Oryza sativa Japonica Group: one gene and its partners. The main gene of each other region encodes a partner of the protein of the gene in region 6 in a complex. Links are inferred from orthologs where the notes say so. Each region holds a gene or a part of one and is shown on either strand. Other genes may lie near its edges.

Region 1 (4,239 bases), on a different chromosome or scaffold from region 6:
CTTGTATACCTCTGAATTTTGATTTGGATCTCTTCCATACCCTTGCCGTTAATTGACCGTTTAATAGGTATATAAAAGTCAGTTTTACCCTTCAATATGTGAGGAATATGTAGAAATTTGTAAACTATATTGTTGGAAGTATAAAATTTGTTGTGTGATTATCATATTCATAAGTTTTATGTACATAAAAAATTTAATATATATTTAAAAAGTACATGTAGCATTTTTTTAAATGATAAACATAGTTTTGGAAAGCATTCCTATATAATATATACAACAGGAGAAAATATGTTGAACTACCATAAACAAATGCTACATATACTCTTTTAGTAGGTAAATAAATATTAGTTTTTATGTCATTAGGTAAAAATAAACTTTGCCATGAATAATACCTTGTACAATAAAGTCATGAATATGATAGTCTTATATAACAAAATTATACACTTCCAACAATATAGCTAGTCTACAATTTTTAGATTTCCTTCATGTCTAAGGGCAAAAAGGTCCTTTTCATTAGAATTAAACATTCAACTAACGGTATGGGTATGAAAGGGATCAAAACCAAAATTCAGGGGCATACAAAGGAGTGGACAAAACTCGGAGGCGTAGAAGGGATTGGCTAAACTTTCAGGGGTATAGAAGGAATTTTCTCCATTTAAACAGGAAACACACAAAAAAAAATGCTTGCATATCGCACGGATTCAAAATTCGTTGAACGTGGAACTTTTGGAACAAGGTAAGAGAAATAAGTATATGTTAAAGAAAAGGGTAAAGGAGAAGTACAGTGTATATGAATTCTATGCAGATGCTTCATCAGATTCACCAGCACCACCATTTTTCTTGCTAAAGTATTCTTCTGCACGAGCTTGGTTCTTCAGATAAGATTGTGGTAGCCATTTCTTCCGCTTTGGTACCAGACTTAAAGTACAACCAGCTGCCTCGAGCTTCTCCTTGGCTGAAGCAGAGAATGCCCCAGCCTTGATATTCAACTTGACTGATACATCACCATCTCCTAAAATCTACAGATAGGTTTTCAAAAGTTAGCATACTAATACTACCCGCATGATAAAAGATACAATAACAACAGCAACATTGCAGTATCATTGTACTCAAACAAAGATGAAAGGAACGCCATCTGCTGAACATCAGAATCAGATGTCAAGAAGGAAAAAGCCTATCATAAGGATAAAGTTGATAGCTCCCCACATTATGACTTAGGTCTTGATACCTGTTTTAGCCCTGTGGGTTTTACCTTATATGTACCACATAGCTAGGAGCCTAGAGTATAGAAAAAATCAATCAAATGAAATAGGACCAGAAAGAACAATAAAAGTTGAACAATTATGCTATTCAAGGTGCATTAAGTTCCACCCTTGGAGAAGTCTTTGTCACATCAGTGATCAAGCGCCACACCACTACCCACTATAAGGGGCAACCCAGTAGCACACTAATGCATCTACTCCAGCAATCCGCCAACTAAGAGTGGAGACAAACAGTAAATATTTTGGGTATGTTGGGAGTGATGCAGACATGCAGTGGTACATGTAAGAGCACATGGTTTTGTTGGGATCTTGATACCACTTCATGTTTATGCCTGACAGATATGCTCATATGCAGGCCTACACCATGTGTGGGTTCATCATAACTCATACGTTCTAGATCCTTGAGTAGCCAATAGAAACACTCGTCAAATCATACCGTGTTTGTCCAACACGAGCTAAGAAAATTGATCCCGACACACAACTTTGAGACTTCGAATACTCAACTTGGTAATTGCTGCTAAGGACAGACCAACACAGCAACATTTGAGAACTACAAGAAAAAAAAAGGCCAGCCATTCAATCCACAACATCAACAACTAAAGGATTACCCAAGACTGCTGGTGAACTTGATGAATTCACTGGCAAAGATCAAATGCAAGGCATTCATATTTCAGTTTTCAGTAAAACATGGTCATCTACAGAACCGACTTAAAAAAAAGAAGGATAATCGTCGTATAGTGTACCTTCAGAGGAAGCTTTCTCTCCCTGCCAGACGGATTAATCAAACCCCTCGATTTCAAGGATTCCAATGATATCTCGTCACCATCCTTGAACCCGCCACGCGCCAAGTCTCTCAAATTGAACGGCACATACTTCGGCAAGCCAATATGCATTCCTGCAATCGCAAGGTAGAACTTGCAACGGGTCACTTCTCAATCCCAGCATTTCTGCATTCCAAATGGAAGGTGCTAGCGTGTTCCCACTCAATTTCCAGTGCATTTGAATGTGTGAGGCTTCGATTGAGGGCGAGGAGGGGAAGCGGGAAGCTCGAAGAGACTCACCTCCAGCAATGCCGCGCAGCTTGGGGATGCGGCGGTAGAGCGGCATCTGCCCTCCCTCGAACCCGCGCCGGACGCCTGGCCCCGAGCGCGACTTCTGTCCACGCATGCCGAACCCGCAGCTCGCGCCCTGCCCCGCCGCGATACCGCGCCCCTTCCGCTTCGGCCGCCGCCGCGACCCCTTCTGCGGGCCCAGGTTGTCGAGCCGGAACTTCTCCGCGGGCTCCGCCTCCGCGGCCTCGGCCGCCGCGGCGCTGCACACGACCGTGACGCAGCGGCGCGGGCGGGCGCGGAGGACGACGGACCGGCGGCCGGAGATGGGGCCTGGAGCGGCGACGAAGGAGGTGGAGAGCGAAGTGGAGGCCGGGAGGTGGAGCAATGTGGCCGCGGGAGCGAGGGAGAGGAGGGTGATGGACGCCATGGCGGTGGAGCGGAGAGCGCGCCTGAGCGGCTTGCTGGTGTGGGTGGATAGAAGGGGATAATTGGGGAAGGACACGAGGGAGATAAGACGGTTGGATAAATGGGCCATGAATCCAATTAACCCTTGGGAATTTGGGCCTCTTTTCCCTCTATTTTGTGAATGGTTTCGTATTACTCACTTTGCTTCTTGTTTATTAAAGGATTTTAGAAGGTTTACAAAAGTTTATGAATAGAATAGAACTGAATTTATCTTCTTAAGAAATGAACATATTTGGATTGATCTTCCACACACAATCAACCAAAGAGAAAACCTGATCTTTGCTGTTCTTCAAGAGACTAGTACGGAGAGAAACTGATGGGTCACACAACCTGACAGAGTTAAGTATACTGAACTGATCTATGCTAAGAAAAGAAAAGGTGAAATGAGAAAGGAAGAAACGAAGACATGTACAAGACACATGCTTCACAGGATCGTCCCGTTGCATGTCTAGCAGTAGACAGGTGCAAGGAATTAAAAGTAAGTGTTACAACTGTAGTCTGGATAATTGTACGTCCAGGCCTCAGCTGAAAGAAACTAATGGAACTCTGGCCATCAACCATCTGAAATGTCAACAACGATACCTCTAGTTGGTGAGTTCAATGGTGACGATGCAGCTTGGCCAGCTTGATCCTCTGCTGCTACATGACTACTTACAGGATGATCTGGCAATGAACTTACATCAACTCGATTAGCTTGCACATTTTCAGATTTGTCATTGTCCCCCTGGCTTAGGGGGTAAGAGCCAGCACTGCTAGAATTTCTGCCATTTTCTACAAAAGATGTAGAACTAGCACCTTCACTGCCACTATTGGATTCCCTAGCAAGAACAAGTTTCAGTAACTTCTGCCGCTTTCTTCTTTCGGTTCTTTTATTTATCAAAGGCACCTCATCTTCATCTGACTCATCCACAGAATAGTAATTCAACCATTCAATGATTACAGAGTAGGAACCATCCCACTTGCTTATTTTTCTTTTCTTCTGTCTGCTGCACTCTTGATTCTTCTTTAGTGAGGTTGTTCTTGGACGCTTCGGTGCTTCCTGAACAGTTGTGGCGGTTAGACGGTCCAAACCAATATCCTTTGACAATTTGATTTTCTTATTAGCTGTGTCTCTTGAAGAGGACTCCATTCCAGAAATACCAATAGAGTCATCAGGAGGAAACCCAGCAGAGGTTTCTTCCAGTTCATGCTTATTGCCTTTTCCACCCTTAATTGATGCATGCGCATTGTGCCAACTTCCAGGGGCTGATTCTTCAACTTTGCAATCAGGTGCTTCTACAGATAAAGCTACCAACAAAAATTAGCAGTATCATCAATTTGTATGAGTAGGCATACTAAGAGTTTAAAATGTATATCTGCAGTAAAGAGTCATCTCAAGGCATTTCAACAAAATAGACTGTTTTATGGTCTTAAAATGTTATCATAACTGGAACCTCCTTTTTAAGCCAAATGTTACCTTT
Region 2 (3,434 bases), about 34 Mb from region 6:
CCAGCTTCGGTGACTTGTGTGAGAATATTTCATGGCCTAATAATGTGTCGCATTGACTGATGCAAGAAACCTATTGTCCCTGTGTCATTGCTGAAGATATTGTAGAAGTTAGCGTTAATGGTGACTGGAAGCTTTACATTGACATTTCGTGCTGTTGCACTTGATGTGTAGTTTGTACATGATGCTTAGTTAACATTTTCCCTCTGTTGCACTTGCTGCGGTTGGCCATGTCGCGCTCTGCACTCTTCGGTTGTTCAGACATGAGAGTTTACAATAATTCAGTATTGGAGAAGTTGGTAAAACTGTCAGATTGTTGACGCTTGGTGAAGTTTGATTCTCAAGATGTGTTTGTTACACTACCGTCTACCATTACATGTTTCCATTCCCTGAACACAGAATAAACAGTGATTGCAAATTTGACATCCAAGCACAAGATGATTAAGATTCTGTTAGCTTCTAGTCCAAAGAGAGTGTGAACTGAGAACGGGAGATCGATAAGATTGAGTAGAAAAAAAATTAGCTTTACGAAATTCAAAGTTACGCGTATACAAAACCTGGACATGGGCAAAGAACATCTCCAATTTACAGTAATTCAGTAAACAACAGATCACAAATCTCACAGAACAGGACGAAACACATGAGAAAAATAGTCTAGTTCTTGGGGATGTTCTTGCCGACGATCTTGGCAGGAGCGATGCGGAGGAGGTTCCCGGGCTTCCCTGGAACGGCGCCCTTGATCATGACAACTTTCAGGTCGTTGTCGATCTTGACGATCTTGAGCTTCCTGATCTTGGTCTTGGTTCCTCCCATCCTCCCGGGCATCTTCTTCCCCTTGTACACCCGACCCGGCGTCGTCCCGGCACCGATCGATCCCAGAGCTCTGTGGCTCTTGGAGCCGTGGGTCATCAGCCCTCGCTTGAAGTTGTGCCTCTTGATGCCACCTGTGTCGATGTCCAAGAACCGTCAGTCGCAAATTGAGAGCATAGTTGCACAATTATGCCATATTGCCATTAGATGATCAGGAACTAAAAGAGATATTGGTGCTCTTGACTTCATGAGAATGCTATAAACGATTATGTTGTTTGGGGAGAAACACCCAGGGGTCTTCCAACTAGCTCCACAAGGTGGTAGGCTAGACGACCTGGGTTCGAAGCCTCACCCATTCTAATTATTTGATATTAGGTCCTTCTCTAATATTTGTGTCTTTTTTATTATGTTGTTTGGGAAGAATATACATGAAATGGATAATGTTTGCGGTATTGGCAAATCGTTGGTCGCAGCAAATCAAGAGCGCAATTGCAACGGGTTTACGATGTTATATTCACTTCATGAAAATTATACAAGTGATGCTGATGGTTGCAATAAATTGTGAACTATAACGAATGTGTTGACATGGTACAGGTCTGCAACTCCAAGAACAGCATTGACATTGCCATATTGGCAATGCCATTGTGCAAGTCTAGGACGCTAATCAAGAGAAGAGGCTAAATGATTCTTCCCAAGAACAATTCTGTACACTAACATTGGTGAGCATATGGTAAATTTGATACAGCAAAATTTCAAGCTTGTTCTCAAGTCTTCCTCACAATGTAAAGCATTGTTCAAATTCAGACAGGGCGAAATGGTAGTCACATTGTGAAAAGGGAGTAAAAAAAAATAATCAAGTTTACTGACCTTGGAACCCCTTGCCGATGGACTTGCCGGAGATGTCGACGAGGTCGCCCTCCTTGAACATGTCGGCGAAGTCGAGCGGCTGGCCGGGGTCGTACCCGTCGACGGACTGGAGGCGGAACTCCTGCAGGTGGCGGAGCGGCGGCGCGCCGGCCTTGCCGAGGTGGCCGAGCTCCGGGCGGGTGAGCTTCTCCTCGCGGACGCCGTGGTACCCCACCTGCACGGCGTCGTACCCGTCGGTGGCCGCCGTCTTCACCTGCGTCACCACGTTGCCGCCCTCCCGGAACCCCACGACGGTCACCGGCACCGGCTTGCCGGTGGCCGGGTCGAAGTAGGTCATCATCCCGACCTTGGTCGCCATCACCCCGACCCCGGCCTCGTACGACGCGCGCACCACCGCCACCAGCGGCCGCCGCCGCGCCGCCGCCGCAGCCGCGCCACCTGCGCCGCTCCAGGAGGCGGCGCGGCGGCGCGGCGCGAGGAGGCCCAGCGCGCCGCCGCCGCCGCCGCCGATGCCCACGGCCGCCATGGCCATTCTTGGTGCCCCGGATTCGAGCGGGGATTTGCTCACTCCAGCAGTGTCCCGGCTTCGCTTGCTGCTTTGGTTGTTTTTCGTGTTGAATTCGATTGGATTGGGGTTTGCGGCTAATGCCCCCTTATCCTCCCGCCTGCAGAGAGGCGCTTTTTAGGAATACGCTTTCTTTGCCGGGGAGGTGGATTCCGTAACAGTTGCAAAATACCACGGGTGCATAATAAATTACAGGTTAGGCTAGACAGGCGGAGCTACCTCCTGGGCAGGTCGGGCGACCGTACAGACTCCGCCGCTGATGTTGCTACTATTCTCCATTGATAGCACATGTAAAAATTTAGGGAGTAACTATATATATATTTATAGCGCCGTATTTTTCACCAAAAAAATAGTCGGCATGTATTTACATTGCAAGTCCCTAAATTACATATATAATTTTAGTGTATTTACAATGTAAATTCCAAAATTACATATGTAAGTACTAAAATTACATATGCAATTCTCAAAATTACATGTGTAAGTTGATGTAATTCCCAAAACTATAAATTTGTGATGACACGGATATTTAGTTTTTAAGACTAATTAGTAATCCTAATTAGCAAATAACATTAAAACAACAGAAGAGATCAGAAGAGAACAGAATCGGAGGGATATGCGTACACTGCGATGATTTCTGCATCCGCATCTGACGGTTGAAACAACCGACTGAAATCCATCGTAATTTGTAGCGACATATTTTTAGCAATACCGAAAATTTATGGATCACTAGTAAACGTTCCTTGTCTCCCAGGTTTAAGTATGCTGCTAGCTTTGCCATTGAGACCATATAACTTTACCGAGTTTTATTTTAGATAACGTGCTATCCAGTGTCCTTACTTAAAGTCAAGTGTTTTTACCTAGATCAATTGTACCTTAGCACGGTGCCCCTGTGCACCAGGTGGGAAGATATCAATGGGAACTGAGTTTGGTACAGATGGTTTGTTTTAGTATATAAGTGGGTTTTTGTAGGTTAGCCACTTGCACTCTCGATGACCTTCATTGCACTAACACAGTTCAGAATAGCTCACTACAAAATAGTGATTGAACACTTCAAATTCTATCGAACCAATAACGTTGTTCAAGAATTGAAAGCAACGAGAGAAATCCATTGCCTTCTACGCGAGTGAGATTCAAAAACACAAATCTTGCGCTCCATCACTAGTATTTTCACAATTCACATTTTGCTATATCTTTA
Region 3 (2,731 bases), on a different chromosome or scaffold from region 6:
TCAATTTTGCCAATTCTATTCTTGATCCACTGCGCGTTCAGACAGAAATGATACAAATTAGGTATGTGGTGAGCTGGTGACCAACAGTAAGTTTCAGAAGCTAATTCAGAAGAATTTCCAACTCTAATTAGTGTTATTCTGTTACTAAAAGATGAATTAATCATTTAATTTTGTTCACTTCAAGGAGGTTTGCTCTTAACAAAAAGAGCACAGTTAAGTTCATGATTTTAAAACATCTCATCATACTGCTTTGAACAACTTTGTTGTAAACCTGGATACACTGATTGATGGTACAACTACACAAGCACTAGTAGTTATTGACCATTCTAATTGTGCATTGCCATTGCCCCTCAACCTACTAAACTTTGATCTCTGTAGTCTCTACAGGTAAAATTAAATTATCAAAACACTAGTTGTGGAACAAGCATTCCCTCTAAGTACGCAACGTAATCCTAATAACATCAGAACTCGGTAATCTTATGAAATCAGACCAGTAGGCATGCGTTGTAAGAGGTAAAACTTTTGTGATTCAATTCAAACGTGAGGCAGTAAAAGTACAGGAATTCTACAAGAAATGAGTGAGATGAGAGAAACGAAGCCACAAAACCATCTCTCAACAGCCATCAGGCGGCGCCGACCTCCTGCTCGAGCTTGCGCACGTACGCCGAGAGCACGGAGACGACGTCCCTGGCCGGCGCCTGCAGCGTGGTGACGACGGAGGTCGCGGGCCCCTGCAGCGAGCCGAGCAGCTTGGCGTACACCTCGGCGCGGCTGGGCATTGTCTCGAGCGCCTTGAAGTCCCCGGGGGCGTAGAACTTGCCCTCGAACACCGCGCCGACGAAGTCGTTGGTCTCCTCGAGGCGCTCCTCCTTCTGGAAGGCGCGGTAGGGCTTGAGCGCGGCGGGGACCTCCTCGGTGTGGACGAACAGCCACGCGTTCATCCCCTTCATGCACGGCTTGAGCGCCTCCCACGGCGTGCCCTCGATGGCCTTCCCCACCAGCGTGTTCTTCGCCACCAGCAGCCGGCAGGTCTCCGGGAGGGTGTCGCGGATGCCCTGCAGCTGCTTCACCGTGAGGCCCTCGTAGCGGATCCCGGCGAGGAGGTAGCAGCCCTCCAGCTGCTCGCGGACGGCGGCCACCGTGTCCTCCTTGCGGCCTCGGGTGATGGCCGCGCTGATGGTGGAGCGGCGGAGCGGGCGGGGGCGGGGGCGGGGTGCGAGGGTCTGGAACGCCGGGAGGGGCTTCGCGGTGGGGAGGGTGGTGCGGAGGAAGGAGGAGGTCTCCATCTTCGGAGGCCGGGAGCTATGGCGGGTTGGGAGAAAGAGTGGAGTGGGAGAGCTTATCTGTGGGGAAGATGAGGCGGGGGGCTCACTGGATTATGTGGGACCGTATCGTCAGTGCCTGAGAAGATGGTGAACTCAGCTCGGTCAGCTGCACAGAAAGAAGCTTCCGTGGAGATTGACCTTTGCTTGAGGATTTATAGCCGTTCGATCTTGATCCATGAGCGGTTGAAAATAAGATTAAGAGTTCCAAATAAAAAAAAATAGAGGCATAGAGCAAACGCGTATGTGTGGTATTCATAGACGTCAATTTAAACCATAGTGAGTGAAGTCGTGTACCAACAACTCCAATCTTCACTGCCTTGTTCAACACAGCATACATCACTATTGTTTTCTTGAGTTCAAAAACTCTTGATATGTACAATAAAACATAACATACATCAGTGTACTGAATTATTCAACACAATAGATATCACTATATAAGAAAATGACAGCGATTAGGCGCCCGATCAGCGGTAGAAAAATCGGGCGCTCGCCGCCTCCCGCACGCTCCCACCCCTTATGCGTTGTCCCCCCCCCCACGTGCCCCACCACACGCGTCGTTATAACAAATCACCCGCACATTAAGGAAATACTTTATTAAAGGAATCCGTTTCATTTTTTTTTCCACCAACAATGTTTTAGCAAGTGTACTCGTGATGTTTCACTATGTATGATCAAATGTTGCAATGATTTGAAACATCCTTTGCTATTTGCTGAAATATTGTTTTTATATAGGATGAAACAATGCCTGATTTTTTTTTGGAAACTGTTGTTTCATATGTTGTAACAAAATATTTCACGATGTGATTTGGTTGTGTTTCAGCTTTTTTAAAAATATTGAAACATTTTCGATCTATTTAGTGAAACAATGCCTGATTTTTGTAAAAAATCGAGCGCCCGATTTGTAGATGCATCACTATATATATATATATATATATATATATATATATATATATATATATATATATATATATATATATATATATATATATATATATATATATATATATAATTCAAACTTTTTTTTACAGGTAAGAAAACCATGCGAATCTCTTGTACGACGATCAAAATGGATATAAACATTGCAAGGATGTCAGGTGGAAAGGATATAAACTGCGACGATCAAGCAACAGCAGCTGCTCTGATGCTGTAAACACGGAGTTGTTCCGGACTCAGCATGCTCAACGCAATTTCACAGAAAACCAAACATCCGATGCTTACCATTCTCTCCATAACTCGTGTGCACTTCAAGCCATCCCTAACATGAAATGATGGTTTTGATAATGGAAGTGTATAGTTCATATAATAATGTCATTGGTAGTACTGAAATCCAAGAAATAAGATGCAGGGAAACAAGAACGTCTGGTACAGGGTGAAATTCACTTTTAGCTCTGCTGCAGCTCTGCTGC
Region 4 (4,089 bases), on a different chromosome or scaffold from region 6:
GCACAATATAGCCCAGTTCATTACCTAAAGGGCTAGATTTTTCACAAATGCTCCCACTCCTGTCCTTCAGTTAACCGTTATAAATGATGGTTGTTCCTAACAGTCAAGTAGCCTACTTTACCTGTTTTCTCTATTTTGCAGATTTGTTGTGATGCTTTACATAACTGTTACGGAGGCACTATGCAGGCTAAGTAGCAGATTACCATCATCATCAGTCATTACACGATCATTTGCTCTATGGCTGATAAGCCGTGGAAAAATGACGAAGCAACCAAAAATAACTTTTGAGTAAAACGTCTATATCTATGTTCTTAGCGATTCAAAAGCCAGCACTGGAGAATAAAGCACAATAAAAAAAACCCCTCAAAATCAATTCTAAATTAAGTTTCAAAATCCAGATTTTGGCTGCCGTTGATAAGCCAACAAACGAACGATGGAGCTATGCATCCATGCATATCCTCAAATTCAGTTGGCACAAACAAAATTTCAAACCTTCTATCTACGAATAACAAGGTTAAAAAAATGTCTATCAACATGTCTGAAAATCGAACCACTGAAATATATTGCACACACAATGAAGACTACTAAACAAGGTAGCAATATATCAGTAGGTTTTCTCCCAGAAGTGCATCTATGAGGTAAGTACTGAGATGACGTAAATGGACAACTTCTTTGAACAAAAGGGCAGGAGTTCTGCCTATTGCATTGAACGAGGATAAAACAGAAGTTCACCAAGGATCAAAGAAGGTAAATGGACAGTTACCCACCTTTCACTCAGGGTCACAATAACCAAGCAAATGGGAGAGAAAACCACAAGCAACAGTGTCAATACATATAGTAATCTGTAGAATTTCCATTGTACCTGAGTTATGTTTGGAGAAACAGTCCCAGCTTTGGGGTTAGGCATAAGTCCTCTCGGTCCTAGAATCTTTCCCAATCCGGCGACCTGTGAAGCAAAAGACCAAAATCAACAACATAATATGCCGAGCTAGTAGCACACCTTTAAAACTTCCATGCAGGTCTTGCATGGAGCTCAACACTTATTGCAGAACTGCATCCAAACTTCCGAAGAATGTACCAATTCAAAACAGTAGAACCTTATTTGCTTATCGAATCTATTTTCTCTGAGTGAACCAAATTTGCATATCTCCATTATGGCTCAAATCATAATCGTAAATGCTAGACACTTGTAATATGAAGGGATGGATCAGATATGGCAGGTAATGATAAGAAAACAATATCTGATCAATACAACTAAATGTTGCCTGGTTTTGTGGTTCCTAATAACACTGAAACATAACGTGTTCATTTGGATGTGGGATAAACTATGTCGGAGACATGCAAAAAGACAAGTCTTCATAATGCTTGGAATTGTTTTAGACATGAGTTATGCAGCTAATGCCATACCTTAGGCATCATATCAGGTGATGCAATCAGCTTGTCAAATTCCATAAATCCTCCTTTTATTTGGTCAATCAGGTCATCTCCACCGACAATATCAGCTCCTGCAGCTCTTGCTTGATCTATCTTCTCACCTGCAAGGATATTTGACAATAGCCATTACATAGTGCTAGTGATTAGTGCACCACTTTAGTGACTAGCGCGCATTCACATACTTCCATTTCAATTCACTATATAACAGCGTGCTTCCAATTTAATGAACCGTAAATAACCACATGATCAAGCAGGCAAACCACACCTAAAAGACACAACTAGCAGTGACCTAATCAATCCATGCACCAAAGATTGCAATTGGAATTGGTGCTGCGATAACAATCTCCAAAATGTAATTGCAACCCACCTTGTGTGAGGACCGCAATCTTCACCGACTGGCCCGTCCCCTTGGGCAAATTAACCTGCACATCATCACCAAAACCGATCCAATATCATCAAAAACGATTGATAAAACACAAGCCAGAACAGAACGTACGTAACAATGGCAACAGCAGAGAGAAAGAGCAATAACCGTGGCGCGGAGCTGCTGGTCGTTGTACTTGGGGTCGAGGTTCATGCGGAAGTGCGCCTCAGCGGACTCGACGAATCGGGCGCTGGCCATCTGCTTCACCAGCGAGATGGCCGTGGGCACGTCGTGCTCCTTCTTGCTCTCCCTCAGCTTCTGTATCTCCAGGAATCGCTTCGACCTCGTCTGCAAACCCATCAAAAAAAAGGCGAACGCGGCGTCAGCGTCAATCCAAAAATCAACACGAATGGATGAACACGCGGGGGGGAGGCTGGATTCGGGGGGGGCATACGCGGTCGCGCTTGAGCGGAAGGGCGGCCTTGCCGGTGCGCGGGCGGGTGGGGGGCGTGAACGCGGGGCCGCGTCCGCCCTCGTACCCGTCGTCGTAGTCGTCGTCGTCGTACTGCTCCTGCCCCTCGTCCTGCTGCTCCCCCTGCTCCTCCTCGAGCACGGCGCCCTGCGGGTCTGCGACGGCGGCGACGGCGGGGCGGCGGAACGCGAGGAGCAGGCGCGGGTAGTAGGCGCGCAGCGACGGGACGGGGGTGGGGAACAGCGCGGTGGACGAGGAGGAGCAGCACTGCGCCGCCGCGGCGCCGGTGGTGGCGGGGGCGGGGGCGAGGAGGGAGGAGGCGGTGGCGGAGAGGGAAGCGGCTGTGGCCATGGTGGTGGTGGTGGTGGTGGGGAGGGGGGAGGAGATAAGCCGAGGTGGAGGATAGAAAGGGGAGGAAAAGGCGAAGTGGCAGCGCGAGAGTGTTATAATAGCCGGTGAGGCGAGGGCGAGGCGAGCGGGCGAAGCGCGCAGCGGATAGGGCTCTCTCTCGCTCGCGCGTCGCGGGGGACGGGGGAGGACTCGTGCGATTTGGGCTATTTTGGATTAGCCGAGCCGTGTGTGCCCGCGCGCGCGGGGGAGACGGTTGGGGGAGGGTGGTGCGCTGCGGCGCCGCGGGCGTCGGATTGGGCCCAAAAGCTCACGATTTCGCCGTTACTGGGTACGGTCCAAAAGAACCACCGATAATGTAGTGCTATTTACTTTTTAAAAATACTACGAACCATTACCCATAATCTGTTAGTTGCGAGAGTATCAGAAATGTCTGGCCGTACCATCAGAGTACCTACACTCTCTATCCCAAAAGATACAACTTCTAAGAGTGTTCACAGTAGAAGGATGTGACGTTCAGCCCCATAGCCAAGAACTGAATATTCGGCGCCGCATTGACAGTACGCGGAGCCAAATAAGGTTCTCGTACCCAAACATGGATACTCGTTCTTCAAACGAAGAAAGCAGGGAGAAAGGTGAGTTGTCGTGTTGTGGAGGGCGGAGCCTCACACGAGTGGCTTCGCGCAGCGTCGACAGCGAGCGCATTGTCGCCACAGCCACGGGGAGAGAGAGAGAGGAAGGCGCCATCGACGAAGAGGCTGCGACCGCCACCGTATCCAATGATGAGGATGGGAGCTCGCCGTCCGGCACCGTCGCAGCTCGGGCTGCCCTGACAGCCGCCGCCGCTCAGCCCCAGCGCCTCGGATGCCCTGGTGAGAAAAGAAATAGAGTGAGAGATTGGGGGATGAAAGATTTCGGATGAGAAAAGAAACAGAGGAGAGAGAGAGATTGAGAGATGAAAATTGAAAAAACTGTACCGGTGGGACCCACTACTAGTACTTGCATTGTAGAGGATGAAGCTTAACAGGTTCTTCGTCTACGTGGCATATGAGGAACGGCAAAAATATGTAGCGCACTGTGAATGTCCTAAGAATGTTGTCCGGATTCATTCCTAGAAATTGATTTTTTATGGGACGAAGGAAATAGGAACCAATACGAGAGTCTGATAATGTGGTATTAATGGATATCGTGTCTGGTAGTACCAGATCCAGTGCACATACAAATATGATACCTACGATCCTGTGCTGATGTTAGCACCATAAGGTATTCTGTTGTAACAGTATAGTGTTATGTAGTAGTTCTTTTTTTTTTGTCACATGCAAACTTTACAAGATCTCTTTTAGAAAGAATATTGGAAGAAATTGGACTGAATGTCTTAATCTTATGCAATTCATGGGTTCTGAGAGCATCAACAATGCGTGTCTCCAGGGCGTCCCCCCACCCGACGCCGTCTCCTTCCGTTTGAAAAAGC
Region 5 (3,396 bases), on a different chromosome or scaffold from region 6:
AGCCTTGTAATATGCTTTTCTGTCCTGTTAATAGAAGAATAATTTAGATAGATATTTGGAAGCTCATTTGGACGGTGGAGCACACAGGTATTAGAAATGATGTGCTGGGGCTGAATGGCTGATGCTTTTGCTAGTACTGCTGGTAATGATATATATTAATCAGTACCATTCTGAATTTATTAGTCTGGTTGAGTCGTGCTGCTGACAGTGAGGTGTTCACTGATAAAATGTGTACTTTCTTTTATATTCTTTATTTGCCGACATTCTGTATCTCTTGTTCACGAGATGTGCCGGATGTAAATATGAAAGTGATGCATGGCTGATTACTTTTTGACCGTGAAGAAGAATTAATGAAGCTTATGCACACTAGGCGGTTCCTCCATACTGCTGAATGGCTGTTCATTAAGGCCCTGACAAGTGACAAGGTCACAGACTGACAGTTACTTCTTGAGGTCAAGGAGGTTAATGTAGTTTATCAGGATTAGGTTGCAAACTGACAAGGAAGATATTGTCCGTTGTGTTTCTACTCTTGGTGTCAAGTCGATCCTCACAGGATCACGGTCGTGGCATTGCTGGTCCTTGGTAGAACAAGGTAGGGCAAGCGCAATGTTGTGATCTGGGACCTTTCAAATCAGATCCTAGTGATTGTCCCCTGGTTATAAAGAACTGCATGTTACGGTTACTGCATGATTAGTTAGGCATAAGCATGTGACGAGGATCCTCGTCGTGATATTCCGTCCATTTTTCAATGTTGATCAAGCGTGGCAGATCTCCTGCTGATCTGCCAGCAACTGTTGCTAGGTTCAGAGTTTGCTTGATCTTGTTTAAGCTCTTCATCGGCGTTTTTTATGTTTGAAGTCATCGTTTAATGGCATACTACTACTATACTAGTGATGTCCTGTAGTGCATTAGAAAATACAGAATGGGCCACATACTCAAACACTGTTACCGGTTGACCAAAACAAGGCATATATCGAAATTCACACACTGCAGACTTGCAGTTGTTGACTCATGTAACTTTACCCTTCTCTTAGGCCGTGTTTAGTTCACCCCCAACTCAACGGTTTTGATGGGCCTAAGGCCCAAATCAACGGTTTTGATGGGCCTAAGGCCTGAAACCATGTCGAACAGTTCGATGGGCCGAACCATGACGAGAAAGCCCACCTGCGACACTGGACAGCAACGGCAGCCAGCCACAGCCAACTCGCCTTATCCCGTAATCCATCCATGGCATAAAGCTCCCTCCTCAGCTCCCACCTCCGTCTCCGCGCACGCTCCAATGGCGGCCACGGCTGTGACCCTGCCGTCCTCGCCGGCCCCCTTCCCCGTCACCACCACCGCCTCCTCCTCCCGTAACGTCCGCCTCCTCCTCCGCTCCCCGCCTCCTCGCCGAGCCCTCCGCGTCGCCGCCTCCGCCGCGGCCGACGCGCCACCCAAGCCGGCGCCGCCGCCGACCTCGCCTTCGGGCATCGTCCTCGTCGACCCCACCGAGGCACAGAAGGTGCACCGCCTCAAGGCTGTATACGACCAGAAGGTGGTCCCCCTCATCACCGAGGAGTTCGGCTACACCAATGTCCACCAGGTGTTCGACCTCTGTCTCCCTTCTCGCAATTATAGGATAGACATGGCCATTTCTTTGCGGAACTCGGGAAATTCGATTGTTGTTCAATAATTGAGCTTAGAGGAGTGTGTTTTGGATTCTCGATTTTATTCAGGTGCCCAAGGTTGAGAAGATTGTAGTGAATTGCGGGTTGGGGGCTGAAGCCGGTAACTCCAAGGGGCTCGAATCCGCCATGAAGGACCTCGCCATGATCACCGGCCAGTGGCCCGTCAAGACGAAGGCCAAGAAGTCCGTCGCCAGTTTCAAGATCCGCGAGGGGAACACCATTGGTATTGCCGTTACGCTCCGCGGCAGGGTGAGTCCTCTGTACCTCTGGCTACTTGCGATGCAGACATTGACAAATTGGGGACTGCAATGTTGTATCAATTTGGGATTTGCATGACAGTATAATAGCCTAAAGTATGTGTGAGAATTGCAATTACTCCATCCAGTTCCAAATTATTGTCACCGTTGGCCGTCAGTATTTTACATTGACCACAAATTTTAAATGGTTGGACGAACGAAAGTTTAATACCTATCTATGTGGAGTAACAACCTTTAATAATATGGCATATTTTTAGGTATATGCATTTTATTTTCTAAAAAATATAAGTGATCAAAGTTCAAATATGAATAGTATCCAGTGACAAGTATTTGGGAACCTAGGGAATATGTTTGATCGATGAGCTTATTTTGGCTTGCTGCAGGTAATGTTCAACTTCCTGGATAGGCTCATCAACCTTGGGCTTCCTAGGACCATGGACTTCCTTGGTGTCAACCCCAACAGCTTTGATGGCCATGGCAACTTCACCATAGGCCTTCGTGATCAGGGCGTGTTCCCGGAGATCCCGTACGAGGTCGGTGGGAAGAAGAATGGAATGGACGTCTGCATCGTCACCACCGCGAAGACCGACAACGAGGCTCTCAGGCTGCTCACCCTCCTTGGCATGCCGTTCGCGGAGCACATCAAGTCCTCCGTGGTGATCCGGAAGAAGAGGTTGAAGCGCCACCACTTCATGAGCAAGGGCAGGGGAAGACGGTGATTGCAAACCGCTGCCTAGGCACGTTGAGCTTTGCTTCTCACTTTGTCAATTGTCATTGTTTTTGCAAAGTTTCGTTTAGAAGTTTGATGATTTTGTTATCTTGTCACGTGCTGTATTTACTGTCAGAAGACAAAATGAAAAGGCTTTGCTTTGGTCAGGTCATTCGCAGATGAGCACTCATAAATGAATTGGGTGTAAAGAGATTATCCGGCAGCATTTTCAAACTGCTTAACTTTACTCACTAAACCACATCATATATATCTCTTTGGTCCCAAGCATCTCATAGCCCAGGCCATTACCCACACCATACTATCATCCTATATCAGTATTTCAGTAGCTACACGTTGGCAATTCAGGCGGACCGATGACGAGCTCTTCTTCAGGGAAGGCGCATGGCTTGCCCGCCGCCCCGAGCTCCGGGCACGGCACCGGCGAGACGTCGGAGGCGACACCCTTGACATCGGTGCAGTTCCATTGCAGCTTCTTGGCGTCCGGCGCGAGCTGCGCGGTGACGTTGGACATGCAGATGCCAGTGTAGGGGTCGTTGGGAATCCCCTCCATCCTGCCGGCCATGGTGACGTTCTCCGCGAACACGTCGCTGTAGTTGATGCCGGTGACCTCCGGCAGAGCGTTGGGGTCGGAGGAGTTGTCCGGGTGCTGGCCGTAGTTGCCGGTCATCCAGAACACCCACTTCATGGTGTGGAGGCTGAGGCCGCGGACGAACACGTCCTTGACGTAGCCGCCGCGCCCCAC
Region 6 (4,256 bases):
CTAACTTTTTCCACCCTCACCCACAAACAAATCTAACCCAAATAGTTTATGTACTAACAGGATGACTAATTAGCTCAGCTTTGCCCGCGGCACACACTTTTGGCATATAAAGTCCGTGTCAAAGTTTCAGATGAAAAGTTTCTGGATGGAAGTTTCCAAACGAAGGTTTTTTCAGATGAAAGTTTTCATTAAAAAATGTGTTGAAATCCCTATGTTTGGGCCTAATAATACAGCGACCAAGCGGCCCAACCTACGACCACCAGACTGCCTACGTGCCATTTTGGCCCACCCAACCCAAATATTGTAGTAGCTCTATCAAACTATATGACTATAAAGAACGTGCACCTTTAAACAAGATTACAAGACAAGTATCAGTTGCTCTAGACTCTGAACCCTTTGTTGTTTACATCATGCCCATTTAACCCCATAACATTAACACAAATAAATTTGTCAAAAAAAAAAAGGTGCAAGAAACTGACTTTACAGGTAGGATGGACAGTGGCAATGTGTAAAGACCAAGCCCCGTGATGTGACACTGCACCTTGGAGTTTCAGCAAAAATCTCTGCAAGTAAATCATTGCATGAATTCAGCTGCTAACACAATTGACGAAATGTATATGACAGCTTAAGAACGGAGCAAAAGGTAAGGAACAATGGAATGCCTTGCAGATGAGCTTACCTGGTGAAATCAGAATTCATCCAAAGCCCACCATCCACTAAAGATTCAATCAAGCAGCTTCAGGGCTTATTTCGCATATACGGTCAGCCTTACTTGAGCTGTGACTTCAGGGTGAAGCTTAATCTCTGCAATGTATTCCCCAATTTCACGAATTTCTGGCACTGTCACGAGACGCTTGTCGACATCCCTACATGAAATAGTTTCCGGTAAGCAAAGCAACAGCAGCAAATAGAGCATCGCAATCCTTCCTTAAAAGGTAGTGATTGTCAGTGCACTTAGAAGGGCATACCTATTAAGTTGTGACTTTATGATGTCAACAAGATCTTGTGCTGTGACGCTGTAGAATAGAAGAAAAACTTGTTATTAAGTGCAAGTAAAATAAGACGATACATAAAGAACTATCTACTCGATAAAAACTTGCCTCCCAAATATCTGTTTTCCTTTCCCACCTTTACGTGGCACTTTGAATGCCCCAATAGTTTCAAAAACACGGGCAAGTTGCTGTGCCTCTTCTTTTACCTACTCAAGCACAAATGCTCAACAGGGTAAGATTATGCTAACACTGGATGAAAGTTCTTATACTCTTATGGAAAATGATATTGGTAGGAACAAATCATGCTTTAGACTTTTTACAAAATAAGCTAAACCACAACTACGTACCCTGGAGAACAAGGATTAGTAGGGTATAACTACCACAGTAGTTTTTAGACAGACAGGAACAAATAGGAATAAGTTTCAACTATATCAATTCTTACTGAGTCCACAAATAGAATAATAGGTTTACTTACCCGCTTCTTTTCAGCATCTATCCTCTCCTGTTCTACTTGCATTTCCCTGTAGACAGCAGCAGAGGAAATTAAGTAGCTTACTAGCCATCCTTTTACAAGAACTAATTGAACATGTTGAACACCCCAGAAGAACTGAACTAGAAATGCAGAATAGGCATCTATAAAAGTTTGCAGATTTATATGTCAATCCTGGGCTCCACAAGGAGGCAAGAGATACAATGGCTAACACAACAGAATAAATAGCTGCAAATTTACACCTGCAGCATACTGTGAAAACCAACTACGATGAAACATAAGCATACGTCAATTAATTTACTAGGAGCACCTATCTGTTGGTTGAAACATAGCCTATACAATTCGTGAGATGTGGTAAATGACTGTAAGACAGAAGATTACTTGAGTACTTCTGGGGTGAGCAGCGTTGCCTTGCCCTTTGGCAGAAGGAAGTTGCGGTAGAACCCGGCCCTCACTTTAAGCGTGTCCCCTTTCTTCCCCACCTCTGCTATGTCATCTGTCAGTATGACCTGGGAGAAAAAGAAACTCAAGTGAAGTAAATCAAATACGGAATCGTGCATTACATGCTAAAGTATAGAAATGCATAATAGACAAGGAAGATGATGACATAGGCTTGGAACATTTTACAGTTTACAGGTGCAAATTTTGAACTGGGTGTATCTAGATGCCTTTTAGTTGCAACTTTCCCTACAAACAAACAGCATGGCCAAACCAACAATTCCGGCGTTCCGGGGCATATACAGAATCATATTAGAGATGACTTTTGCATCTGAGTTGCAATGCTAAGAGGCACCTAATTAAAAACATGACGATAGTTTCTTCCATTTCCATGTACTGCATCAGAGCATGCGTCCATGGCAATGTATCTTTTCCTATACTCAGATGTGTGAATGCACACAGTAATCTTAAGCTTACAGCTGCTGCATTTCGAATTTTTCGATCGATGGAATGCAGTCGCATGCGCTTTGTAATCTACTGTACTGATTAGTGGACAGGGTGGTGACAGACAGTACATTGGGTATGGCTAGTTCTAAAAGAGGCAAAACAAAAGCATCACCAGCAACAGCTTGTTCAATCAGTCAGTACTAGTACTGCTTAGCTCGAACGAATCGCAATTAAATACATACATACATACATGCTGCAACTGTGGAGAGAAAATACAAGTGGAAGCCAAACCTGGCGATACTTCTTGACCTTGCCCTGGGCGACGACGACCAGCGACGGGGAGCGGCGCGGCGGGAGGCGGGAGGAGGGGGCGGAGGAGGAGGCGGCGGAGCTCCAGGCGAGCGTGGAGGCCATGGCGTTGGGGATGGATTGCGGGGGAAGGGAAGGAACTGCGGCTGCTGCTCTCTTATCCACTTCCCCAACGGATTTGGTGCCCTCTCTCTTGGGCTTTGCGCTGCTTTGGGCCTTTCAAATCGGCCCAGTATCAAAGGTTTTCTTCGGGGTTGTCATGGGCTTGAAGATTAAGGGTCATTTTGGTTTGGCGCTCCTTCTTGCCTTACTAATTCTTTGATAACTTAAAGGTCAAAAATAAATTATTTGGTAACTTTGAATAGTTAACACGTAACTATTTGAATTAGAGTCAAATTTTGCTAAATCAATAAGGTGAAGCCAAATAGACAATAACAAAAATTTAGTAATACCAAAATTTACTCAAGATTTGGCATTGCCAATATTTTGGCATGGTTTCATACCAAACAAGTCGTAATAATAATCCACCAAATTGTAACCCCCTTCCACTCAACGTATAGAGAAAGGTAGGAGATATATATGTACGTGATACCTCGACGATATTACTAAGATAGATAGATAGTACATGTGATGCCAAGATGTTATAACATACATTAAGAGAAACACTCAGGGGTCTTCCGGCTAGCTCCACAAGGTGATAGCCTAAATGACCTGGATTCGTAACCTCACCCCTTCTAATTATTTGATATTAGGTCCTTCACTAATATTCATGTTATAACATAAATCGAGAAATATATTATTATAACACTATTTTGGTGCTATCTTGAAACTCAACGATACATCACTAGCTACCATTACGTATAAACGTGTATTAATAGTATAAGCAAATATCAACGAGTATCATCAAGTATCAATGTGCAAGAACGAGTATTAGCAAATACTCCGTATCTTCATGAATAATATCAAAGAGTATAATCAAGTATCATTGTTTAATTATCAACGAGTATCATCAAAATATCATCCTCGTATATCATACTCCAGTATCATCTTGTTGTACTTTTTCTGACAAAGATCTCCAGCTGGTGACCTGTTTCTCGAAAGGAACAAAAATTAAAAAAAAACCTAGCAAATCGTTCTTAAAAAGAATGGCGATTATATATCTTATTGAATTAGTATGTCTACTGCTCAACGAGATGAGAAAACCGAAGAGAAGAGGGGTATATAATCGAGTATATGTCATCGTCGTCGTCATGTCATGCAGCCGTCCATGACTTCGTCCTTCCCGCCATCGGAGAAACCAAACAAGCGGACTCCACGAAGCTAGCTAAGCTAGCTAGCGCGCCAAAACTTTAAAAATCCTCACACCCTCTTCCACCTTCGCTTCATCTCCAATCCAATTCTCCATCGATCGTTACACCCAAAGATCGAGATACCAATACCATGGAGGAAATCTTGGAATCCGAGTACTCGGCCGCCGCCGCCGCCGGCGACGCGGCGTCCTTCGTGCTCTCCCGCTTGCCCCACCCCGACACCACGGCCTCCGCCGCTGCCGCCTTCGTCGTCGACGTCGCCGGCGCCGG
Region 7 (3,779 bases), on a different chromosome or scaffold from region 6:
CCATGACAGCGATGAAATTGATTTTCATAATAGTGAACCTAAATGCATCCTATTTTTCCTGGTAAAAGATGTTCCTTTGAGATGTATGTCAAAGTTGTGAGCGAAAATTGGAGGAAGGATGCAGGCGTAGAACTTACCATCCCAATCACCAACTCACATACTTTACGTTGTAGAGAGTAGAGATAGTAGGTCCCTCAAGAAGGAATCAAGGAAATGCAGATGTCTCATTGCAGTCTTGCGGCAACCAAATCAATTAAGAGGCTGAAACCCCACTACAGCCCTACATGCCAAAAGAAACTACTTTTGCAAGAACCTCTTGTAAAGTAGTTTCAAATACGGCCTGAACCATATATCATACCCCCAGTGATGATGTTGATCCATTGCAAATTGCAATTCCACATGAATACCACTACTTTCAAGCATCAGATCAGCCCACCACAACACCCATAACACAATTACGTGGAACTTGTGGTACCGGAATACTGGAATAGACCCATCCTAGTCCCTAAAGCCTAGCTGCCAGGAAAGGTACATGCATACAACAAGTCGAACAGGACTAACCAATGAGTTGAACATGGGCCTTGTATTCATCTCACTGTTGATGATTCAGTTGGAATAGACCCGCCCTAGTTCCTAAAGCCTAGCTGCCAGAAAAGATACAGCAAGCCGAACATGGCTAAACAAGGAGTTGAAGATGGGCCTTGTATTCATCTCATAGTTGATGATTTACATTCCAAACATTGTTATCAAACATGGATTGCGAAAATGGAGAAAAACGGGGCAGAGAACTTATCAGCAGTCTGCATTGACCTCAGGACTTTCATCTGCAGCTGCCAACACCAATTGCACCTCAACAATTCCCTCTGCTCTTGCCTTTTTGCGTTCACGCTGCATGCGGAAGTACTCTCTCTTTCTTGCTCTGTAACTGTTTGGGTTCTCAGGTTGTTTCTCGTATGGGTAAACACTTACCTGTAAAAGAAAAGGCAACAGAAAACCACTTAGATACAATTATAAGTAGATGCTGACAAGTTATAGCTAGGATGCAGACTTTCACCTTTTTCTTGTCTGGTCCATATTTCTCGAACTTTACGAGGCCATCGATCAAAGAAAAGAGGGTGTGATCCTTGCCCATTCCAACATTATTTCCAGGATAGACCTAAAATGACCAATGAAAATGTATAAGAAAAAGCAAGAATATGTCCGTAAAATGTGAAATTACTGTATGAAACGCAACTGCTCATAACATGTAGAAACATAGACTATTGCAGAGGGTGTGTGTGGTGGTTCAGGGATAAACTTCAAAGAAGTTGCATATGCATTACTGAAACAGCGGGACAAATGCCAGAACTTGGAAAGTACATCGAAAGGATGCATGCATGCCTTGCAATACGATACAATACATAAGAGGAAGTAGTTTAGCAGCACATGCAACTGTTTTTACAGGATACACACATTTATGTAGCACATTCTTGTGCTATGTTAGTTCATGGATGTGAAGAAAGTAACTATCAGTTGAGTCTTTAGTGCAGAAACAGCACGTCCTAATATCAAAGTGTACTTCCTCCTTTTCTCTCTGCATTGCATTAGAGTGCCTGAAACATCTAGTTCCCCTGAAGTCTGAAGAGTGTGTAATTCTTGGCCACATCCCACGATATTGGTAAGAATGTACCACATGCGGCCACGTCTTAGCAAACGGGTGGCGTTGCATAGAATAACAGACTTTCTCTAGGACCAACTTTGGAACACGATCATTGTCATGCCTTTTTGTTAAAGAATATTCACACCATTCCTGAACTCTGAATTGTGCAGATGTTAGTTAACACAACAACCTCACCTAAATTCACAAATTGTTCAGAGCTGGACGAAGCTATACTATCAGTCAAAATTTGAGGAGAAAAGTCGAACACATGAAACATCCAAGAACCAGTAAGTAAAGGAAGAGGATGGTGATGACCCTGGTGCCGCGCTGGCGGATGATGATGGCGCCGGGCTTGGCGACCTGGTCGCCGTAAATCTTGACACCGAGGCGCTGCCCGGGGGAGTCCCTCCCGTTCTTGGTGCTCCCGGCCCCCTTCTTGTGCGCCATCTGGATCGTCAGCCGCCGCACCGGCATCGTCATCGGCACCCCCATCCCGACCCCGCCGCCGACGGAGAGCGAGACACGGTCAGCGCGGAGGAAGGAGGCGGAGGAGGAGGAATGGCACGGGGAGGAGAGGGACATCCCCTTGAATGCTCCCACCAGTGTGAACGCCATGGACGCCATTGCGCTCTCGAGCAGCGGCGGAGTCGCGAGGAGAAGAGAAAGAGAAGATAGAGTGTGGGAGCACAGCGGCGAGGTGATAACGTGGGAGTGGAGAGGAAGACGTGGGCTCTTTTTTTTTGGGTCGGGATCACCCATTTACGGCCCATCACGCGGTTGGGAATCCCTTTCCGGCCCACGTACTTTGGCCCAGCACACGTAAGCGGGAGGGAATGACGCGCCGGCCCAGCACGTGGGTGGGAATCACGTGCCGGCCTACCGCAAAGCCTTTGTGGGCCCGATGTTGTGGGCTTCGTGGAAACGCGAGGAAAAGGGCCGGCCCATACATCTCTTCTTTTTCTTTTTGCTGGACAAAATTAGATGGAATTACTTTTTTTTTTCAGTTACATTGCAGACGCACCCACGCACACACTATTACACAAGCAACACCACACTCATAGCCCTGCGAATGTGTCCCTTAACATGCGCTCTAAGAGAGAGAAACTAGCGGAACATTACTAATTAATCTCACTAAAATCTTGTTGAAAGTCCACTTGCATATGCGTAATATTCGTGGGCGCTAGGATTTGAACCCTGGAGGATAAAATCATATACCCACAACTCCACCACCACATCACTTTCGCTTCCCAAATTAGATGGAATTATAGTATTGAATTAAACATTACGGAGAAAAAAAAGAGAAATATATTAGCAGAAGGTAACATGGAGAAAAAAAATAGAGAAATATATTAGCAGAAGGTAACAGAAAAGACCAAAAATGAATCATGAATTTCAAAGAGAGAGAGAGAGAGAGAGAGAGAGAGAGAGAGAGAGAGAGAGAGAGAGAGAGAGAGAGAGAGAGAGCATAAGTTGTGATTCTTGTGGCGAAAACAACAAATCAACAATATTTCCTGGAGATTGAAGTCACTTTGCGAGAGGGAGGAGAGGAGTGGAGTTAGGGCCACCAGAATTCCAGAAAGCATATGAGATGGAAGCTAGAAGAAGAGGAGGAGGAGGTGTGGATGAAATCTGAATTGAGTGTGTGGATGAAGTGAATCGAAGAGCCCCAATTGTGAGCAAGAATGATGGCGGGCTTGACTGCAAAGGCAAAGTAGGCTGGCTGGGGATTGATTCCTTGTTGTTGTTGTATGGACACACCACCCCCACCGGCCATGCCCATGCATGATTCATCCTTGACAAAGTGTGCCTCGCTATGGAGTGTGGATCTGTGGATCCAATTATAGCTAGCCCTCCTTAACCCCACCATCCGTTTTCCACTGTTCATCTTCAATTCATGATTAGCCCCCCCCCCCAAATTTTGATTTAGATTATTACCACAGATTATCTACTTAATTATAGGAATAAATTGTATACTATCTTCATTTTTTAATATATGACGCCGTTGACTTTTTCTCACACATTTAACCATTCGTATTATTTAAAAAGAATTACTTAATTATAATTTATTTTGTTGTAAGTTGTTTTATCACTCAAAGTACTTTAAACATGATTTATATCTTATATATTTTCATAATTTTTT

What was found.
Region 1: large ribosomal subunit protein bL9c (region 6) and large ribosomal subunit protein uL15c share a complex: the UniProt entries of both Arabidopsis thaliana proteins name them as parts of the 50S ribosomal subunit. The link is inferred for Oryza sativa Japonica Group from reciprocal best matches to the Arabidopsis thaliana genes RPL9 and RPL15.
Region 2: large ribosomal subunit protein bL9c (region 6) and large ribosomal subunit protein uL3c share a complex: the UniProt entries of both Arabidopsis thaliana proteins name them as parts of the 50S ribosomal subunit. The link is inferred for Oryza sativa Japonica Group from reciprocal best matches to the Arabidopsis thaliana genes RPL9 and AT2G43030.
Region 3: large ribosomal subunit protein bL9c (region 6) and large ribosomal subunit protein uL10c share a complex: the UniProt entries of both Arabidopsis thaliana proteins name them as parts of the 50S ribosomal subunit. The link is inferred for Oryza sativa Japonica Group from reciprocal best matches to the Arabidopsis thaliana genes RPL9 and EMB3136.
Region 4: large ribosomal subunit protein bL9c (region 6) and large ribosomal subunit protein uL1c share a complex: the UniProt entries of both Arabidopsis thaliana proteins name them as parts of the 50S ribosomal subunit. The link is inferred for Oryza sativa Japonica Group from reciprocal best matches to the Arabidopsis thaliana genes RPL9 and EMB3126.
Region 5: large ribosomal subunit protein bL9c (region 6) and large ribosomal subunit protein uL5c share a complex: the UniProt entries of both Arabidopsis thaliana proteins name them as parts of the 50S ribosomal subunit. The link is inferred for Oryza sativa Japonica Group from reciprocal best matches to the Arabidopsis thaliana genes RPL9 and AT4G01310.
Region 7: large ribosomal subunit protein bL9c (region 6) and large ribosomal subunit protein bL27c share a complex: the UniProt entries of both Arabidopsis thaliana proteins name them as parts of the 50S ribosomal subunit. The link is inferred for Oryza sativa Japonica Group from reciprocal best matches to the Arabidopsis thaliana genes RPL9 and RPL27.

The regions. Positions count from the first base shown.
Region 1 is NC_089037.1:6,341,527-6,345,765, reverse strand, and holds the start of large ribosomal subunit protein uL15c, read right to left. Parts: upstream 2,801-4,239; 5' UTR 2,742-2,800; coding exon 2,324-2,741; intron 2,158-2,323; coding exon 2,006-2,157; intron 1,020-2,005; coding exon 798-1,019; 3' UTR 784-797; exon of another isoform or gene 682-783; intron 42-681; exon of another isoform or gene 1-41. Other genes in the region: uncharacterized protein, read right to left, coding at 3,333-4,066, 4,236-4,239.
Region 2 is NC_089036.1:1,980,082-1,983,515, forward strand, and holds large ribosomal subunit protein uL3c, read right to left. Parts: upstream 2,301-3,434; 5' UTR 2,207-2,300; coding exon 1,675-2,206; intron 942-1,674; coding exon 652-941; 3' UTR 501-651; downstream 1-500. UniProt on the Arabidopsis thaliana protein: One of the primary rRNA binding proteins, it binds directly near the 3'-end of the 23S rRNA, where it nucleates assembly of the 50S subunit.
Region 3 is NC_089037.1:9,831,879-9,834,609, forward strand, and holds large ribosomal subunit protein uL10c, read right to left. Parts: upstream 1,348-2,731; 5' UTR 1,287-1,347; coding exon 624-1,286; 3' UTR 501-623; downstream 1-500. UniProt on the Arabidopsis thaliana protein: This protein binds directly to 23S ribosomal RNA.
Region 4 is NC_089039.1:18,889,689-18,893,777, reverse strand, and holds the start of large ribosomal subunit protein uL1c, read right to left. Parts: upstream 2,801-4,089; 5' UTR 2,622-2,800; coding exon 2,253-2,621; intron 2,147-2,252; coding exon 1,967-2,146; intron 1,857-1,966; coding exon 1,802-1,856; intron 1,536-1,801; coding exon 1,408-1,535; intron 947-1,407; coding exon 863-946; intron 1-862. UniProt on the Arabidopsis thaliana protein: This protein binds directly to 23S ribosomal RNA.
Region 5 is NC_089037.1:1,440,999-1,444,394, reverse strand, and holds large ribosomal subunit protein uL5c, read left to right. Parts: upstream 1-1,211; 5' UTR 1,212-1,279; coding exon 1,280-1,582; intron 1,583-1,715; coding exon 1,716-1,916; intron 1,917-2,307; coding exon 2,308-2,643; 3' UTR 2,644-2,896; downstream 2,897-3,396. Other genes in the region: probable polygalacturonase, read right to left, coding at 2,974-3,396. UniProt on the Arabidopsis thaliana protein: Binds 5S rRNA, forms part of the central protuberance of the 50S subunit.
Region 6 is NC_089036.1:35,818,859-35,823,114, forward strand, and holds large ribosomal subunit protein bL9c, read right to left. Parts: upstream 2,801-4,256; 5' UTR 2,782-2,800; coding exon 2,659-2,781; intron 1,992-2,658; coding exon 1,864-1,991; intron 1,514-1,863; coding exon 1,468-1,513; intron 1,199-1,467; coding exon 1,101-1,198; intron 1,017-1,100; coding exon 969-1,016; intron 867-968; coding exon 746-866; 3' UTR 680-745; intron 564-679; 3' UTR 326-563; downstream 1-325. Other genes in the region: 4-coumarate--CoA ligase-like 3, read left to right, coding at 4,117-4,256. UniProt on the Arabidopsis thaliana protein: Binds to the 23S rRNA.
Region 7 is NC_089035.1:41,095,372-41,099,150, reverse strand, and holds large ribosomal subunit protein bL27c, read right to left. Parts: upstream 2,347-3,779; 5' UTR 2,264-2,346; coding exon 1,955-2,263; intron 1,157-1,954; coding exon 1,055-1,156; intron 970-1,054; coding exon 793-969; 3' UTR 501-792; downstream 1-500.